Linked DNA regions of Schizosaccharomyces pombe. The protein of the gene in region 1 purifies or fractionates together with the protein of each later gene. This does not show direct contact. Each region holds a gene or a part of one and is shown in the gene's direction. Other genes may lie near its edges.

Region 1 (4,304 bases):
TAAACTTTCATAAAATATGCAACAAAAGCCTCTAGGTGAAAAATTGATTTGTTGCCCATCCGAGTCCTATGTTCATAATTCGCTGCAGCTTGAATTAAGTATGGATGCAATTTAGTGTCCACTTTTGAAAGAAAAAAAGACAGAAGTTCCTTCAAAATTGTGGTAGGGGGAATGCAGTGAGAAAGAAGATCATACAGCATTGAGCGAACAGCCAGGATACGTGCAGGGCTTTGTTCTTGAAGCATGGAATCACCGACCTGCTGGATAAATGTTTGCCAATCAGGCAAAGGGAGTTGCGCACCAGTATCGATTAGTTGCTTGTTGCCTGGAGATTTTGCATGAACGGTCTCTAAGAGCAAGATGGCTTTTCTAAGATTCCGATCACAATTATTCGCTATATTATTAAGCAGAGAATCCGGAGCTTCAAGGCCTTGGGCTGTCAAGATTTTAGACATTACCAGGATAATTTCCTCTGGCGTAGGGGCTGCAACACGAACCATTAACGTACGAGATCGAATAGGCTCAATAATTTTCGACGTAGAATTGGCAATTAAGATCAGACGAATGTTATTGGAATATTTTTCCATGGTACGACGAAGAGCCGCTTGAGCGTCTCTAGTTAATTCGTCAGCCACATTGATTACAACGACTAAGGAGCATGTTAGTACGAGCGCAGATAAAAATAAGGAAAAGAATTGAAAGTTCACCAACCAGAATATAACATGAGACACCTAGGAACAAAAAAGAGCACAAAAATTCCATATTGATTTCACTTTACAGTGAAGACATACCTTTAAATATCTTTTTAGCTTGTAAGTCAACTTGTGCAGATTGAGCCACATCTTTTAAAAGCTCCTGCATAATGACTCGGTCGTAATTTCCGACATCGCTGGGCGTAATTTCCAAATGATGAAGACTTGATACAATATTGATCTGTAATTTTTTACTACTAGGAGTCAAGAAAGTTCTTTGATCGATTTTCAACTACATTCATTGTGAGCATGTATATTTAATTAAATGAAAGTCAGACTATGAAGAAACATACCTTCTCTGAGCCAGGTCCATACAATTCTCGTAATATAGCAACCACCCGAGTTTTTTTTCCTGCTCCGCTGGGCCCATACACTAACAAATGGGGAAACTCATTAGTAGACGACAAGGAAATAAGACGTTCTGAGAGTTGTTTGTGATAGTCCAAAGATGCAAGCGTCTTTGGACGGTATTGATCTAACCAAAGCATTTATTCCAAGATTTAAAGGTTGGAACTCGGTTTTTGGTAAAACCCTTCAGTAACGCAAAGGACAAGTGGATGTACTTAATGGAGAAATACAACGTGCATGTCAGTGTATTACACCAAATTGTTAGATGATAAAACTTTTAACTTCTAAACAAACCGAACTGTTTTTCCCATTAAAATAAGCTCTTCAAGATACCTTCCGTTCTCGCTAGTTTACACATATTATGGAAGTTACTGAACATTGTATTTGAGTGGGAAGTATTTTACAACACTTGGTAATTTTATTGTTTATTCAATTCTATTTCGTAGAGCGCTCTAACTTCATTATCGATAAACATTTGAAGCTGTTACATAGTTCAAACTTCTTCTCGTATACTTACTGACCAAACTATGTTTTTCCACCTTGCTTTATTCCTATAAAAAAAATAACTGTTTAAGAAATTATTTAAATCCCATTCATTGATAAGGCAACTTGACACGCTAACGTTGTAAACTTTCAATTAAATGAATCAGCTGCAAAACTCAGTTTCCTTTGACGAGCACTTATTCTATAGAAAATGATATATTACAATTCTTCTTATATTCAAGTACATGTGAGCGATTAGTCCGTTTACAACCTTTTTTTATCGATAAGCTAAATTATCCATTCAATAAATGACATTTCCTAAATTAAATTGACAATTCATTCTTTTTTTTATTTTACCTTGTAAGGTTTTTTAAAATGGTTTTAAAATTTGCCCTTTAAAAGGACACGTTCCTACCTTCGTGGTGAAAGTTTTTCTCATTACCCATTTCAACAACCAAATCGATTCTTGCGATATACGACAAAAGTTGTAGTATTTCAAGATGAAATTGCTTCTTGGTGATGAAATCGGGCAATTAAAATGTAAGAAATCCACTCACAAGTTCGTCGGTACTAATAAAGGTGATTATAGTCATAGAAATAAAAAAAGGTACTGACACCTCAAACCCCGAGTCAGAAGCACCAGTTATTCAGAAATTTGGAGAGTTAGATCGAGAAAAAGGAGTGCTTTTTATGTTGAAGCATGAAATGGTACGGAATTTTTGAGATTTCTGTGATAACGCATTATGAACTAAAAAGAAGCAACTTTATTGACGCTTGTTTCTTCGTTACTATTATCAAATGGATTGCGCGTTACTAGGATATCCTGTGTTTATATTTCGAAAAACACTGATTAACTTGTTAATTTTAGAATGTATTTGTCGCTCGGAAAAATGGTACTATTGAATGTTGGAACGTTAACCAAGAACCACCTATTTTGTCTAGTCTTTGGCAATTGGACAGCTCTTTATTAGAGACTGCTTCCATAGTTTCCATGAAATACTCTAATGGTTGGCTAATGCTTGCTTTAAGTGATGGAAATTTGTTGTTTAGACACATTGAATCTTCGAAGCTTCGAAAACTTCAATTACATGGCCCCCTGTCCGCTGTTGAGTTACATCCAAGAATACCAGGAATAATCGCTGCTGGAGGAAAAGAAAACGATGTTTGTTTGTATTCTTGCAATCCTACGTGCAAATCGAACATTGATGAACTAGAACTTTGGCGAACAGAAAACGTGGTAAAAGTTTTCCAGGGAAAAAATGTAAAAAATGACTCCCTGAATCTTAGAGTGCGCGTGTGGATCACTGGAATTGTGTTCACGGAAGATATTATTAATGTTATTGACGGAAAGTCCGAAGACGATGAAAGTCTGTGCTTCCATTTTGCTACGATTACTCATTATGGTCAGGTAAGCAGTTGATAATATTTTGATTATTCACAGTATTGAACCTTTATTTAACAACAAATAGTTACGCTTTTATGATACGAAACACGGCCGCCGCCCGGTTTCCACATTTGATGTCTCTACTTCACCATTAAGTCATGTTGGTTTGCTTCCTTCAATCAAGTATGTTTTATCGATTTTTTGCAAATCAAAGGCATTATGGTAATAAATAAATTGAATATTTCCAAAGCCATTTAAAGATTTTTTTCTCTTTTCTTTCTAGCACTCATATTGACCAAATTTAGGTTACTTTACTTTGCTGATAAGCGTGCTCAAATCTCAATTTTTGACCATTCAAAGAAAAAAGTCATCGGAAGATTTCAAGGAGTAAAGGGTGCCCCTTCTTCAATTCATTGCCTTGGTAATGTAGTTGCTATTACTGGTTTAGATAGAAACGTCAGGATTTTTGATGCTGATAGAAAACCGCTAGCAAATGCATATATTAAAGCTCTTCCTACCAGTATTATTGTTATTAATGAAAGAGATGCCGAAATAATTAAGAAAGAAGAGGAATTAGAAGCGGCAAAAGAAGAAGAGGAAGAGATTTGGCGAAACATGGAACAGTTAGAAGATACAGAAGATAAAAAGCCTTCGAAGAGGATAAAACTTTGAAGAAATACTGGTCTTGTTGGGTAAAACTATGGATATATATATTGGTAAAGTTTTGTGTTAGATATGGGATCTTAATAAATACTGTTATGGATTACATTATATACAGATTACTTAATTCCAGTCGTATTGTAAATTATATATTGAAAATTGGATTAATGGCAAAAGCTGCAGACGAGAAGCACAAATAAGTTGAAAGATTAAGAACAACAGCTTGTAATTGCAGTCATAATTCGTCTATTTAAAAACATTAAAATATAGTAACTAATTTGATGCATTCATTTTTCGAGAGAAGATTTTTGAAGAAAACAAGTGTTTGAAACCAATTTGTTACGCAAGGAACGAGAACTCATGACATTGATTGAAGACATTTTCGAACAACATGCCTTGCAAGTTGCACACGAATAATCAATCTACTTTCAAATTCGTTGTCTCCACCAAAATCACGAGCTTTTCTCAGATAAGCATCACAATGCTTCAATCCTTCTTTTTTAGAACCATTGCTCTCAAAAAACGCTACCGCCATTTCATAATGAGCAAAAGCAACAGCCCATGTCTCGGTTGTACGAGTAACAGCGCATATTTTTTGAAGGATAGGGAAAACTTCGTCTGTGCGACCCAAGTTACGTAAAACAGTAGCTTTAATCAACGCCTGACAAATATCGTCG
Region 2 (4,349 bases), on another chromosome or scaffold:
CTTCCAAAATCAACTAAATATTACCTTCTATTAAGACATAGATTAAAAAACCGACAAACCCTTCCTCTTAAAGTATTGTATACCCATAACTTCTAAGACTCGTTTATTATATTCCGCAAGTTAGAAAAATAGCAAAAGAAGTCACTTCCTAACCTTTAATACCTAAAATCTCCCTTAAAGCAACTGGGTCGCTTACTGCTGCTCGCTTTTGTGCCAAAAATTTTCTTCTGGTATGGAAATGAATGCTAGCGGGTCGGTTGCCTTCTTTGACCTTCTCGACAGAGGAAGTGGACTCTGGTTTATCCTTTAATTTTATTTTCTTTTTCTTTTTCTCTTCTTTGTCGCTTGAGCCTGATTTTCTCTTTTTTGAAGAACTTTCCTTATCCTTTTTCTTGTGCTCTTTTTTCTTCTTCTTCGTTATTTTTTCCAACTTTTTAGGATCAAGAGCCGAACCAGTAGAGGTCTTTTTCTTACTTTTCTTCTTAGAAGAGTGCTTCTTTCTTTTTTCACGCTTAGCTTCATCGGATGAAGACGCATCTTCACATACACGATCCTCATCCTCCTCTGCTTTTTGCATCCATTCAGAAAATTCACTAGTAAACGTCCCACCCAAAACAAATCGTCTGGATAGCTCAAGTGATTTTAAACCCTTCTCATTCGCACTCTGTCTCTCGTATGTTAGTTGCTGCACCTTTGCTTTCTCAGCATAGACACCATACGCAGACTCATCGCCGTTAAGTCGACCAAAAATAGCGTTGAATTCACCTAAACCGCTCCATTCAAGATCGTTAGTTGCTTTGGCTCCAATTCCCAGTGTATCATCTTTTAGGCTGACCTTGATGTTATGAATGCGACCATGTTGCTTTTCACCCAAGCCATTACCATTCACCCAACCGTAGGAGGATAAAAGCTTAAATCCCAATCTATTTGTATCTTTTGCCCATTTAGAATTCCGAGGATCCACACCAATCTGTTGTTTCTTTTTTACACCAGCCAAACCCATGATGTCCTGTTAATCTTCAATAAAATTTTTTTTTTATCGACGATCAATATGTGAGAGGACAAAAAAGAATGAGAATAAATTATAAGAAGTAATCAATTGTAAGAAATAATTAAAATTGCGAACAGCGCAAAGTAATATACATAAAAATATGTAGCAGCCTGAGTCCTAAAATCCCACCAAATCCTAGAACCGATGAATTCTTTCCCAAAATAAAACCTTTTTCGAGGATAGAATCAATTGAGTCTCCTCTTCTTTTATAAAAATATAAACACACGATAAATCAACGATCTAAACAAAGTCTTCTCGCTAATTGAGAAACTCTCCAAAATTTCTCGAGTATTGCACTCAAATTGGTGAAAAAGGATAAATTGATAGATCTTTATTAAGTTTTAAAAAAGAAAAGTACTGGTTCTTGGAATTTCTTGAAAAGTGGTGGGCTCAAGAAGGGAATATATGCAGTTGGTAAACCGGCTATGTGTTAAAAGCGCTATAGATGCTTTCAAAGGCATAATTGAAATCTTCTTTCAAATAACGTGAAAGCATTCCAAAAAATTACAATGTTATAATGAGCTGTAAATAATACCGGTCAAATCATCATTTAAGTCGTTTTAAAAGAAGTATTTCAAAAGACGTTAAATCTTACAATTCGAGCATACTCTGGAAAAAAATAAGCTTTAAAAAAGTTTATCCTTTTACTTTTAAAGCATACTTTAAATCTTCTAATATTATTTTTGTTATTCTTAGATTTTGTTCAACTGTTACTTTTCTACTCAAAAAAAAAAGCTGAATTAGGACCGCTATCGATGAATACGAATTGGGTTGATTAAACTTGAAAATTCTTAAAAAACAGTCTCGTAACATCTTGATCAATTCAGCCAAAAGTCATTATCCTCATTTTTTTGGTACTGGAAATTTTGATCTTTTCGACACTCCTTCCACCAACAACAGAATGGATGCCCAAAGCGCTCCTTCAGGCCAAGTTCAAGTCCGTTTTACTACTAGAAATGAGGATTTAGCTGTTGGTGACACGCCGATTTTTGTTCCTACATCTTTAAAGCGGTACGGCTTATCTCAAATTGTAAATCATCTTCTAAAAACAGGTATGTTTTCAGTTAACACATACTGGGTCAAAGCAGGAGAAAAGTCGCATAATTCAACCAACTTGAAGAAAATTTGAAGCAATAGAATAGCTGGTCTCATGCAAGGCCCAATTACTATAAAACTGTGTAGAAGCTGAAATTTGTTGGCGAGAATCAAATGGGGGCTTCTCGAATCTAAGAGTTACTCTAGTGTTCTTTTTCACGCCTTTCTTAAAATTTTGTAAAATTCTTGAAGATGCATTACTAAAAGCCCTTTTTTTATTTTTTTGTCTCTTTTACCTTTCATCCTCGTTTTGCTTCATTGCTATACAATTTTGCGATTTTTTAGTTAATTTAATTTATTTCCTTACTAACTTTACTAGAAAAGCCAACACCCTTTGATTTTTTGGTTCAGGGTCAGCTGTTAAAAACTACTCTCGATGAGTACATAGTTCAAAACGGATTGTCTACGGAGTCGATTCTTGATATTGAATATATCCAATCTACATTACCACCTGCATATTTAGCTTCTTTCTCTCATGACGATTGGATTTCTGGTATTCAACTAACCTCAGATACCATTCTTACTTCTTCATACGATGGGATAGCTCGTGTTTGGGATAAAAGTGGTGAAATAAAATTTCAATCAACTGGATGTGGATCATCTTTAAAAAGTGCATCCTGGCATATACCTAATCAAAGTTTTCTCACTGCTTCACTTGATCAAAAAATTTTTCATTGGGTGATCGAAGAGCCAGAATCAATGTTGGATGCTGAAAAGAAAAGCTCCGGTATCCTTCAAACTCTTTTCGTAGGGCACAAGGATATAGTTGAGCGCGTACGATCCTTAGAATCTTCAAGCGTTTTTATTTCTGCTTCTGCGGATAATACTGTCGGAATTTGGGATTTTGAAAGGTCTCCTGAGACTACCCTCGAGTCCTTTTCCTCGTCTATATCTAAAAAGAGACGTCGCAAAAATGCAGAATTCACACCTCAAGCTGGGGCTCGCTCTCCGCTGATCCTTTGTGAGGGGCATACTGGACCGGTGATGGATATCGTCTTTTCTGATGATCCAAGTGTTGCATATTCCGTAGGCCAAGATCACACAATTAAGACTTGGGATCTCATTACTGGGCAAAATGTTGATTCCAAGATAACCAAAGCTCCTCTTTTATGCGTGGAAAAACTTACTGACCTACACTTAGTCATTTGTGGTTCCTCTGCGCGACACATTGTTGTTCACGACCCTCGAGCGGGAAGCGACAAAATTGTGAGTCATACTTTATCCGGCCACAAGAATTTAGTTTCCGGATTATCGGCAAGCCCAGAAAATCCCTATATGTTTGCATCCGTCTCTCACGATAACACTTGTCGTGTTTGGGATGTCCGTGCTACATCCGGCAGTATTTACACAATTTCTAGAGCAGAAAAAACAGGCTCTCAGTGGGATAAACTTTTCGCTGTTGATTGGAATAAATCCATTGGTATTGTTACGGGAGGTACTGACAAACAACTTCAAATCAATCAATCCTCATCCTTTGGAAAAAGCGAATGAAAAAAGATGTAGCATAAAAAAAATTGACAGATTATGATTTAGTGTGGTACAAGCGGGATAAGTTAAGGAACAAGGTCATTACTACTAGAGATTAAAAGTTTGATTAAATTATTTAAGAGAACACTTTATTAAAGCAAAATAAGTTAATAATTCAAATTATACACACCACGTAGCTTAGTAATCGTGTAATAAACTTAAGCTTCAGAGCAAGTCTGTGAAATGTTTTGAAGAGTCTGAAAAACTGGTTTCTTCCGGCTCCTCTTCCTCTTTGACTGAGCTTTGATTAAACATCAGAGAGGAAGATGATTGCGGGTTTTTTCTACCAGAACCAACTGTAAAAATTGCAGTAGCATTTATACGAGTGTTAAATGGCTCTCCGGAAGGAAAATGGAAACTTTTGTGCAATCGTTCAAAAGGAGAATGAAAAGGTGTTTGCCTTTGAACGGTCGAACTGGAAGGTTTAGATGAAATAATAGAAATTAAAGAATTTGAAGATGCAGAAGAGACGTTTGAATAGGATCTAGTACGGGATGAATTCCTCGAAGAAGCAACGGAAGAACGCCCAGACAAGCTGCGTATGGGAGTTCGTGATCGTCGAGTCGGCTGGGGAGATATGACAGTATTTTGCAGAGGAGAAGGTGGAATATCAATATTAATTGAGAGGTTCGAACTTTTAGAAGGGCTATTTTGAGAGTTCGAGGGGAAGGTAAAG
Region 3 (4,398 bases), 2.2 Mb from region 1:
TTGAGAAAAGAGCAAGTACTGTACTAAATACAAAGAAAAAGAGGAAAGCCAAAAGAAACAGTGCTTTGGCTGGCTTGGCGGCCCTAGTGTAAATTTCTTGTTTTTGATTAACTCCCTTTACGCTCGTTTTTTTTTTTTTTTTCATCATAAGTCCAATAGCAAAAGAATTCTGTAATAGCGTTGTTGTGCTATCATATTGCGTATATAATAAATTTAGTTTTCTTGGCTTTCTGCATAATTTTGACTTATTAATAAAATTACATGTTAATTAGCTAGCAAAACTTGATTTAACTTTGATGCTGATAAAAAGATGTTGAAATTCTAAATGGAACGTTCTTTAATGTCCATTAAGTTGCTTCATTTCAAATCCTTTTTTGATGACTGATTGTAAAATTAAAACTGCTAGTTGTAGGAAACAGGAGACCAGACAATGACAGTAATTAGTATATTAGTAAAATTTTCCGGACTAAAATTCGTAAAAAAAAAGAACAAATTAGATTACAATATTCAAATATTTTCACGAGCTTTAGTATTTATATTATTATAGGCAGTACCTAAATTCACAAAAAATGCCATTATTTGTTGTATAGTAATTACTTTACCCTCGACATTACTCATAATGGTTCAATAGTGTTAACAAAAACTGATATTAGTAAAATCTTTCTATTCTTTAGTATGTTTATAACGAAGACCAGCTAAACATGAATTTCTTGATCCGGGCAAACTAACTGCGTATAGTTGATATTATGCAAAGTGAACGAACTTATTTATTTGTAGTAAAATAATAGCTCTATAAAAGTAAGATGATCGAAAAGAAACTTATCACACTCTTACTATAAAGTGCTTTAGCAATACGATAAATTGGGTGAATTTTCCCTTTACACAAACATATACATACGGTCTCATAAATCTCAGCGCTGATACACTATGCTATGTTATTCAACGTTGAGTAACTTTGTATGCCATAAGTTGAAGTGAAATCAGATTATTAATAACTGCGTATACCCGTCTATCTATTTAACACAAAAACCGTTGATATAAATTATTATAAAAATGATAAATGGAAGCTACAACTGAACTGAGGAGCGAGGCTCATATAATAATATTTTAGTGACAGAAAACGACGTAACCTGAATATAAGAATATCTATTACAAATTGCTATATATATCATATGCGTACTATATAATTTAATAAATCACAAGGAAGACTCATCGCAACTCTACCTGTCGTTAAAACAGATGCCTAGCTGCGTACCTGAAGATTTGTTTATTTACCGTAAAATGTAATAAACATAAATACTTTAATATATCACTACTGTATTGCTTAAGATTATAACTTACTTGAGTAGCTAACAACTAAATCGTCGAACATTGATTCACTTGGAGTAATTGTAGAAGTTTTGATAGTTATTTTAAATTACAAGACCTTTACAAACTTATCAAAAATCAATTAGTCCCTTGCCGCAAAGATTTATCTCAAAAGTACGGAAAAACACAAATATAGCGAAATTTAACGTAAAATAGTATAAGAAAATTTAGCGCTGTGAGATAATACTACCATCTAACACCATTTACGCAGTGCAGAGAGCTAAGCTAGTCTGTATGAAGGATTTTGGATTTTGCAAAATTCTTCCAACACCCTCTTTCTGCAAAAAGCCATCAAATTGAAGAAATGGCGAGGGTAAAACAGAAAGGTATGTAGCTTGTAAAAAAATTTTCTAATTGAAAACAGGGAAAGCAGGTGCAGCTCGTATCTACATTACGAGAAATCAAGCGCTTAAGAAGCTTCAGCTCACTCTTGCTGATTTTCGTCGTATTTGTATTTTAAAGGGTGTTTATCCTCGTGAGCCAAAAAATAAGAAAAAAGCAAATAAAGGCTCCACTGCTCCAGTCACTTTCTGTAAGTCTAATAGCATCAATTTTTACCGGAATCATAGCTATCTGAACATGGACGTTTGGTATAAAAAGCATTTTCCGAATGGTCAATTTTATCATGGGCTAGTCTTTTTTTGATGAACTAAAAGAATGAAATTATGTACTAATAAATATAATAGATTATACTAAGGATATCCAGTATTTGTTACATGAGCCTATTGTACAGAAGTTTCGCGAGTACAAAGTGTTCGCTCGCAAGCTTAGCAAAGCATTGGGAAAAGGGGAATTAGAAACTGCTAAACGTTTAGAGGCCAGAAAACCCACTTATTCTTTGGATCATATCATTAAAGAGCGTTACCCAACCTTCCATGATGCCTTGAAAGATATTGATGATGCTCTTAGTATGCTGTTCTTATTTTCAACTATGCCTGTTACCGACAAGATTGGTGCCGCTACTGTCGCTAATTGTGAAAGATTATGTGCTGAATTTCAACACTATGTAATTCGGTCAAATTCCCTTCGTAAAGCTTTCCTCTCTATTAAAGGAATTTATTATCAGGCCGAGATTTTTGGTGAGCAAATCACCTGGATTGTTCCCTACAAATTTGCTCAATCTGTTCCTACCGATGTTGATTTTCGTATCATGCACACTTTTTTGGAATTTTATCAAGCACTTATGGGGTTTGTAAATTTCAAGTTATATAATACCTTGGGACTTCGTTATCCCCCTAAGATTGATGTTGCTAAAAGCGAATCTGCCGCTGGTTTAGCAGCTTATGAGTTAGAGGAGTCTTCTTCCTTACCCGCTATCGTCCATGGTAATAACAAAAATGCTCGTAAGAATATTGCTACTTTAAAAAGTAAAATAAGAGATATTGTGAATAGTGATGCGAACGTCGTTGAGCAGTCGGAAAAAACTACTGAGGATGCTGATGAGGAACCTGAAACGGAGGAAAACTTAGATGAGTTTAAACCAGCTGATGGTGCAGATAATGAGGATTCCAAAAGCCTAGTATCACATATTTCATCATCTAATACCTCGTTGTTTTCTAATTTTACTTTTTTCCTTTCTCGTGAAGTCCCCCGTTTTTCTCTGGAATTTGTGATTCGTGCCTTTGGTGGTAAAGTTGGATGGGATCCAATTCTCGGATCAGGTTCTCCATTTTCAGAATCTGATCCTGTGATTACTCATCATATATGTGATCGTCCTCATATTTCACAGAAGTACGAAGGTAGGATATATATTCAACCACAATGGGTATACGACTCTATCAACAAAGGAATCTTGGAAAGGACAGACTTGTATGCCTGTGGCGCTACGCTCCCTCCTCATCTTAGTCCATTTGTTAAAGTAGGTGAAAATGACTACGATCCTGAAGCTGAACTTTCTGCTGAAGAGAACGACGATGTTTCCGAAGCTCTTGATGATAATATTTCTGGCGAAGCAGTGCCCATAAGTAAGAAGAATGACGAGCCTGAAAATGTTGAACAAATTGATGACGCTGAAGAGGAAGACTTAGAACATCAACGAGAGCTGGAGGCAGAAGCAGGCGGTGTCGCTTATTCTGAATATGTTAAACAGAATTCTAAGTCCGCGAAAAAGACTAAGAAGCGTCAACGTGATACTTTGACTGCAGAAGAAAAAGAAGAAAAAGAGGCAAAGGAGTTATCCAAAATGATGATGAGTAATAAACAGAGAAAGCTTTACAGTAAGTTGAAAAACGAAAATAGCAAAAACGAAAACTACAACAATGCGCTTCGCAATCGGAAGAGGGATATTGAAAAGAGGAAAAAATTAAAGGTTGAAAACTAGGTTTAATAAACAGTAATCATAGTAATAGATTATTTTGGGTCATTTACTTTTTGTTTCTTAAAATGAGTTCATTGTATTTTACTGTATCCATGGATTAGGTTCGTGTTCAATTTAATTGAAGCTGATCGTTTTTATATAATAAATACACTTTTGCTTAACATTTTTTCGACTGGGAGATAAAGAAGATGAATATCAATTTTTGAGATATATTATAAAATATTAATTTTATGTAGTCAATATTTATTTATAAACGTACAAATAATAATAATGAGTAAAATAAAACTCACGGTAATTTTAAAATAGAGAATGTAAAATATTTAAAGACAAAAAGAACAAAAAAATGAAGGCAAGACAACACTTTTTTTTTATTTTTTAAATTGACTTTCAAGGTTACAGTACGTTTAAGCACTGTAAAGCCAAGGCTTTTCAACCAACATCGAGGCCTGTGACGGAACTTCATGTAAAGCTAAGGGTTCAAGCAATTCTTTATGAATAACGTTAAGAGCCTTTACAGCCATTTTCTCGTCAATAACGCATGAAATGTTGATTTCACTAGCACCTTGACTAATCATCTCAATGTTGATTTGGGCTTCAGCAAGTTTGCAAAACATACGACCAGCGTAACCGGTAGTGTTTCTCATGTGCTTACCAACAAGAGATAGAATAGCTAAACCATGGAGAATATCAAGCGTTCCCAATCGACGCAATTC
Region 4 (4,866 bases), 400 kb from region 1:
CGAAAGAGAACTTGAATTGTTAATTGGTGGTATATCCGATGTTGATGTTGAAGACTGGAAGAGCCACACCGAGTATCGCACTTATATTGCTACCGATCCTGTTATCAAGTGGTTTTGGGAAATTATTGCTGGCTGGAAGAACGAAGATCGTTCAAAGTTATTACAGTTCGCTACAGGCACATCACGCATTCCTGTCAATGGTTTTAGGGATTTGCAAGGAAGTGATGGACCTCGCAAGTTTACTATTGAAAAGGCAGGTACACCGGATCAACTTCCAGTAGCACACACATGTTTCAATCGCTTGGATTTACCTGATTATCCTTCAAAAGATACACTGCATGAAAAATTGAGCCTAGCCGTTGAAAACACGGTAGGGTTTGGAAACGAGTAATGACAACAATCTTGAAATTTCATAATCACTCAACGAAGTCTATTGTATGAATTAAAAATTTTTTTCTTTAAAGTAAGAAACCTATAGCTTTAATGTGCTTTCATCAATATCAACGGCTATGGGGTTTCCCAATGTATAACCACCTTTTATTGTGTCCTTTTCTTTAACTATGGATGGTTTTTGCTTCTCATGAAGTAACGCGATGTGTCTTATCGCGCCTCCAGTCATTGTCTAACTAATTTTTAAGCAACGAATGCTTCCGTTAGAATATCTGGCTATCATCACTATAAACGTTCGTTACCCAAAGGTTATAAGTGTTCGTCCAAAAATTGACAGCAAACGTTTTTGACGGGAGTGGAATGGACGTTGTTTCGTCGGTTCATGAAACCACTGTTCACTAAAGAAATGTCAAGCGTTGATGTTTGCTTAAACACTGGTTTATCTTAAAATTAGCTGCCCGTATCTGTAGCCTTGTCGAGAAGCTTTATGGTGATATTTTGTAACCAGCAGTTCAGAGGTTTTTGACATGGTGCTTATTTCGTTCGTTTGCTGTAATTAGTTGATCTGCTAAAATCGGATTTGTATAGCTATTAGCATTGGCGACACGAATTCAAAACGTATTGGGTTGAGTATGCATTCGCTACCTTAGATCCATTCGGAAGTTAATGGTATGATATGCTTATTCTGTTTCTTCATTTAAACTTTTTTTGGCCAATGATTACTTTACGTTCAGGTGTCCTTTCTGCTGCAACTTTTAATCTTTCTTTATTTATTGTTATGTCGTTTTTATGTGGTATAATTTTCAATCATCTACTACAGCTAAATGTGAAGTGTTTGCTGACATACTCCTGGATTGACAGATTCTCGGGCTTCTTTACGCATATCCTTAAGTGGAGTTTTTCTTAATTATCATAATTCTGAAATTGTATAAAAACTAGGTATGAATAGTATATGAATGGGGATACTAAGCTAGTACGTAAAAACTTAATCAAATATATCTTTCTTACGCATTGATGGTCAACAAAATGAGTAAATCATCTAGTAAAGAGTCAATTTCTAATATAAGTGATTTCAAGTAGGAATGAGTAAGTAAGCATAATTGTGGGGGCAGCTGAAGAGAAATTGAGAAATTTATCAGCAAGATTTACAACTTACTAAAAATCCACTGAACAAATGTGGTATGCAATGCTTTCAACTGAAATTTGCAATAAGAAACTCCCAGTACTCATATGTTCGTCCTTGCACTAAGCTTCAGCTAGAAGGCTGCAAACATTGGCGAAAGCACATATACTGCTCGGTTGATAGGAAAGGCAGGAATTGATTAATAATTCCTTTTATTTTGTTGATTTTTTTTTATTATATAAAAGAAAAAACAATGAGAAGGTCTGGTACATCGCTTAGTCGTGATTTGGAGCGGAAAATTCATGAACGTTTGGTTTCTTTGAAAGATACCATTCAACAAACAGAAATTGAAGAGTGGCCAGTTTCTACTCGTCGGGCTATTCAATTTGTTCAAGAAAGGGACATGTCTCTTCGAAGAATTAAGAAGCCAATCCTTGAAAAAGTTGTCGAAAAAGTTTTAGACACATTGAAGGCCGAAGTGGAGGAAAAATTAGCTTCCTCTCAGGATTTAGTACTTGTTGATAGCGACATGGAAGAACAATCTGACTCAAACTTGATGGAAGTTAAGGTATGCTTTGCTGCTCTTTTGCATTTTTATGAAAACCATTTTTACTAAGTATTATTTACAGGATACCAATGTGATTAACAAAAGCATCACTAGTCTTTGGAGCTCTCCAAACTTGAAAGAAATAGATGGAGAAGATGAGAAAAAGTCTGTTGGTCAGGAATCGATTACTGGATCTGCCAAAAGAAAAGATCGTCGATCCAAGACTAATGGTTCAAAGCGTCAAAAAGGTTTGTTAGAATTTATTTTAGTGGAAAAGTGATTTATATAAACTAACACTTTTTTAAAGCGGAAGCGAATAGAGAACCACCAAGTGACATTTCTTTGAGTGATATAGGAGGACTAGATGATTGTATTAACGAATTGCTTGAGCTAGTCGCAATGCCGATCAAGCATCCTGAAGTATACCAATATACTGGAATTCATCCTCCCAGGGGTGTACTGTTACATGGTCCTCCCGGTTGTGGTAAAACTATGTTAGCCAACGCATTAGCCAACGAATTGGGTGTTCCCTTCATCTCTATATCTGCTCCCTCTATTGTTTCTGGGATGTCCGGCGAATCTGAAAAAAAAGTTAGGGAGGTCTTTGAAGAGGCTAAATCGTTAGCCCCCTGTTTGATGTTTATAGATGAAATTGATGCCGTTACTCCCAAACGTGAAAGTGCTCAAAGAGAAATGGAACGTAGGATTGTCGCTCAATTCCTTACATGCATGGACGGTATGTATTTAATATCGTTTTTTCTAGCTTACTAACAGTTCAGAACTTTCTTTTGAGAAAACTGATGGCAAACCTGTCTTGGTAATTGGTGCTACTAATAGACCTGATTCGTTAGATAGTGCATTACGCCGTGCAGGAAGATTTGACAGAGAAATATGCTTGACCGTCCCAAGTCAAGACGCTCGCGAGAAAATTTTACGTACTATGGCAAAGGGTTTGAAACTTAGTGGAGATTTTGACTTCCGTCAATTAGCGAAGCAGACGCCTGGTTATGTGGGTGCCGACCTAAAAGCACTCACTGCTGCTGCCGGCATTATAGCAATAAAAAGGATTTTCAATGAAATTTCTCCGCTGAACAAATTGGACCTTAATTCTGATCCCAGATTTAATGAACTTGACAGTGATATGGCCTTAGATTCAAACGACAGCTTACCCCTTGATCATTCTTCTATAATTCAAAGATATTTGAATGCTCATCCTGATCCACTATCTCCAGAGGAACTTGAACCACTCGCTATTTGTCCACAAGATTTTATTGAAGCACTCGCCAAAGTTCAACCTTCGTCTAAACGTGAAGGATTTGCTACCGTTCCAGGTGTTTCTTGGAATAATATTGGTGCACTAAAATCAATTCGTGTCGAATTACAAATGGCCATCGTTCAGCCCATCAAACGTCCGGAGCTTTACCAAAGCGTTGGTATCAGTGCACCTACAGGCGTTTTACTATGGGGTCCTCCTGGATGTGGTAAAACTCTGTTGGCTAAAGCGGTTGCAAATGAAAGTAAAGCAAATTTTATATCCATTCGTGGTCCAGAATTGCTTAATAAGTATGTTGGTGAGTCAGAACGTGCAGTGCGACAAGTTTTCCTCAGAGCACGTGCATCTTCTCCATGTGTTATCTTTTTTGATGAATTAGATGCGATGGTACCCAGGCGTGATGACTCACTGTCAGAAGCCTCGTCAAGAGTTGTAAATACCCTTCTTACTGAACTGGACGGTCTTAGCGATCGTTCAGGAGTTTATGTAATTGCTGCTACCAATCGACCGGATATTATAGATCCAGCAATGCTGCGTCCTGGTCGTTTAGATAAAACATTGCTTGTTGATTTACCGGATGCTCATGAACGGGTGGAGATTTTAAAAACGTTGACAAAACAGACGCCCTTACACGAAGAGGTAAATTTGGATGTACTTGGTCGAGATGAAAGATGCAGTAATTTTTCGGGTGCAGATTTGGCTGCCCTTGTGCGTGAAGCAGCTGTGACAGCTCTGCGATCAGCCGTTTTTGCAGATATTGCTTCAAATGAACCAGAAATTACACAACATTCAGCATTAGAGCCAATTCGTGTGACAAATGCTGACTTTGAGTTAGCATTCAAGAATATCAAGCCAAGTGTCTCCGATCGCGATCGACAAAAGTACCAACGACTGGCAAAGCGTTGGTCTTCGGCAAGTACAAATGATGCTGACTAGATTGAAATTATTGTTTACGGATTTCGGGTTTGTAGTTATATTGGACCTATGTAGTTTGGAAGTTAGGGAAAAATAATATTTGGGTTTTTGGGTTATATTGATTACTGTGGCATAATGAATGGATATTTCATTTGGTATTTGATAAACTACAATGTAAATTTATAAGTAAGAATCTAGGAGTATAGGAAATTTCATAAAACTTTCTTGTTTATCATTTTCTGTTTCGAGAAGTAGATTAAACAACAGCTATTAATTTTGTATAGCATAAGTTTTTATCTGTCTGGTTATACAAAAAGTTTGTTTAGGAAGAATAATGTACTCATTTTCTTTGTAAGGTGTCAATACTTGTGCAAGTCGAACTTTGACCCCGACATTTGCTTTAACAATAACAAAGAACACTTTTAAGGTAATAGAATTAATAATATTATAAAGTCAATAGAATATTTTTATACGGATAACTAAATTGAAACAAAACTCTTTGAGCTTGATTGGCGTAAGTGTTTCTTCAAACTAGTAGTCAGTGCTGTGTGCAGAACCAAACACACCCTTAACCATCACCTTTCCTTAAACGACGATGAAGCTGGGAATTTTCGGTTT

The links.
Region 2: the proteins of wdr74 (region 1) and ytm1 purify together in Schizosaccharomyces pombe (affinity purification with western blotting, with the first as the bait; one study listed by BioGRID). This does not show direct contact.
Region 3: the proteins of wdr74 (region 1) and ppp1 purify together in Schizosaccharomyces pombe (affinity purification with western blotting, with the first as the bait; one study listed by BioGRID). This does not show direct contact.
Region 4: the proteins of wdr74 (region 1) and rix7 purify together in Schizosaccharomyces pombe (affinity purification with western blotting, with the first as the bait; one study listed by BioGRID). This does not show direct contact.

What each region holds. Positions count from the first base shown.
Region 1 is NC_003423.3:1,534,816-1,539,119, forward strand, and holds wdr74 (ribosome biogenesis protein wdr74), read left to right. Parts: upstream 1-2,007; 5' UTR 2,008-2,083; coding exon 2,084-2,123; exon of another isoform or gene 2,124-2,172; coding exon 2,173-2,291; exon of another isoform or gene 2,292-2,367; intron 2,368-2,451; coding exon 2,452-2,991; intron 2,992-3,052; coding exon 3,053-3,150; intron 3,151-3,272; coding exon 3,273-3,639; 3' UTR 3,640-3,752; downstream 3,753-4,304. Other genes in the region: DNA replication factor C complex subunit Rfc5, read right to left, coding at 1-649, 792-984, 1,046-1,240; SPOM_SPBC83.16C (uncharacterized protein), read right to left, coding at 3,986-4,304. UniProt on the Schizosaccharomyces pombe protein: Involved in the biogenesis of the 60S ribosomal subunit.
Region 2 is NC_003424.3:5,006,461-5,010,809, reverse strand, and holds ytm1 (ribosome biogenesis protein Ytm1), read left to right. Parts: upstream 1-1,931; 5' UTR 1,932-1,952; coding exon 1,953-2,103; exon of another isoform or gene 2,104-2,211; intron 2,212-2,384; exon of another isoform or gene 2,385-2,465; coding exon 2,466-3,637; 3' UTR 3,638-3,794; downstream 3,795-4,349. Other genes in the region: pxr1 (PINX1 family ribosome biogenesis protein), read right to left, coding at 149-1,003; serine/threonine protein kinase Ppk16, read right to left, coding at 3,839-4,349. UniProt on the Schizosaccharomyces pombe protein: Component of the NOP7 complex, which is required for maturation of the 25S and 5.8S ribosomal RNAs and formation of the 60S ribosome.
Region 3 is NC_003423.3:3,710,894-3,715,291, reverse strand, and holds ppp1 (pescadillo-family ribosome biogenesis protein), read left to right. Parts: upstream 1-1,634; 5' UTR 1,635-1,672; coding exon 1,673-1,694; intron 1,695-1,706; exon of another isoform or gene 1,707-1,732; coding exon 1,733-1,900; exon of another isoform or gene 1,901-2,054; coding exon 2,055-3,688; 3' UTR 3,689-3,873; downstream 3,874-4,398. Other genes in the region: nucleolar protein Dnt1, read left to right, coding at 1-92; hom3 (aspartate kinase), read right to left, coding at 4,090-4,398. UniProt on the Schizosaccharomyces pombe protein: Component of the NOP7 complex, which is required for maturation of the 25S and 5.8S ribosomal RNAs and formation of the 60S ribosome.
Region 4 is NC_003423.3:1,931,302-1,936,167, reverse strand, and holds rix7 (AAA family ATPase Rix7), read left to right. Parts: upstream 1-1,665; 5' UTR 1,666-1,766; coding exon 1,767-2,081; exon of another isoform or gene 2,082-2,142; coding exon 2,143-2,308; exon of another isoform or gene 2,309-2,367; coding exon 2,368-2,796; exon of another isoform or gene 2,797-2,839; coding exon 2,840-4,269; 3' UTR 4,270-4,358; downstream 4,359-4,866. Other genes in the region: HECT-type ubiquitin-protein ligase Pub3, read left to right, coding at 1-391; erp5 (COPII-coated vesicle-associated protein Erp5/Erp6), read left to right, coding at 4,844-4,866.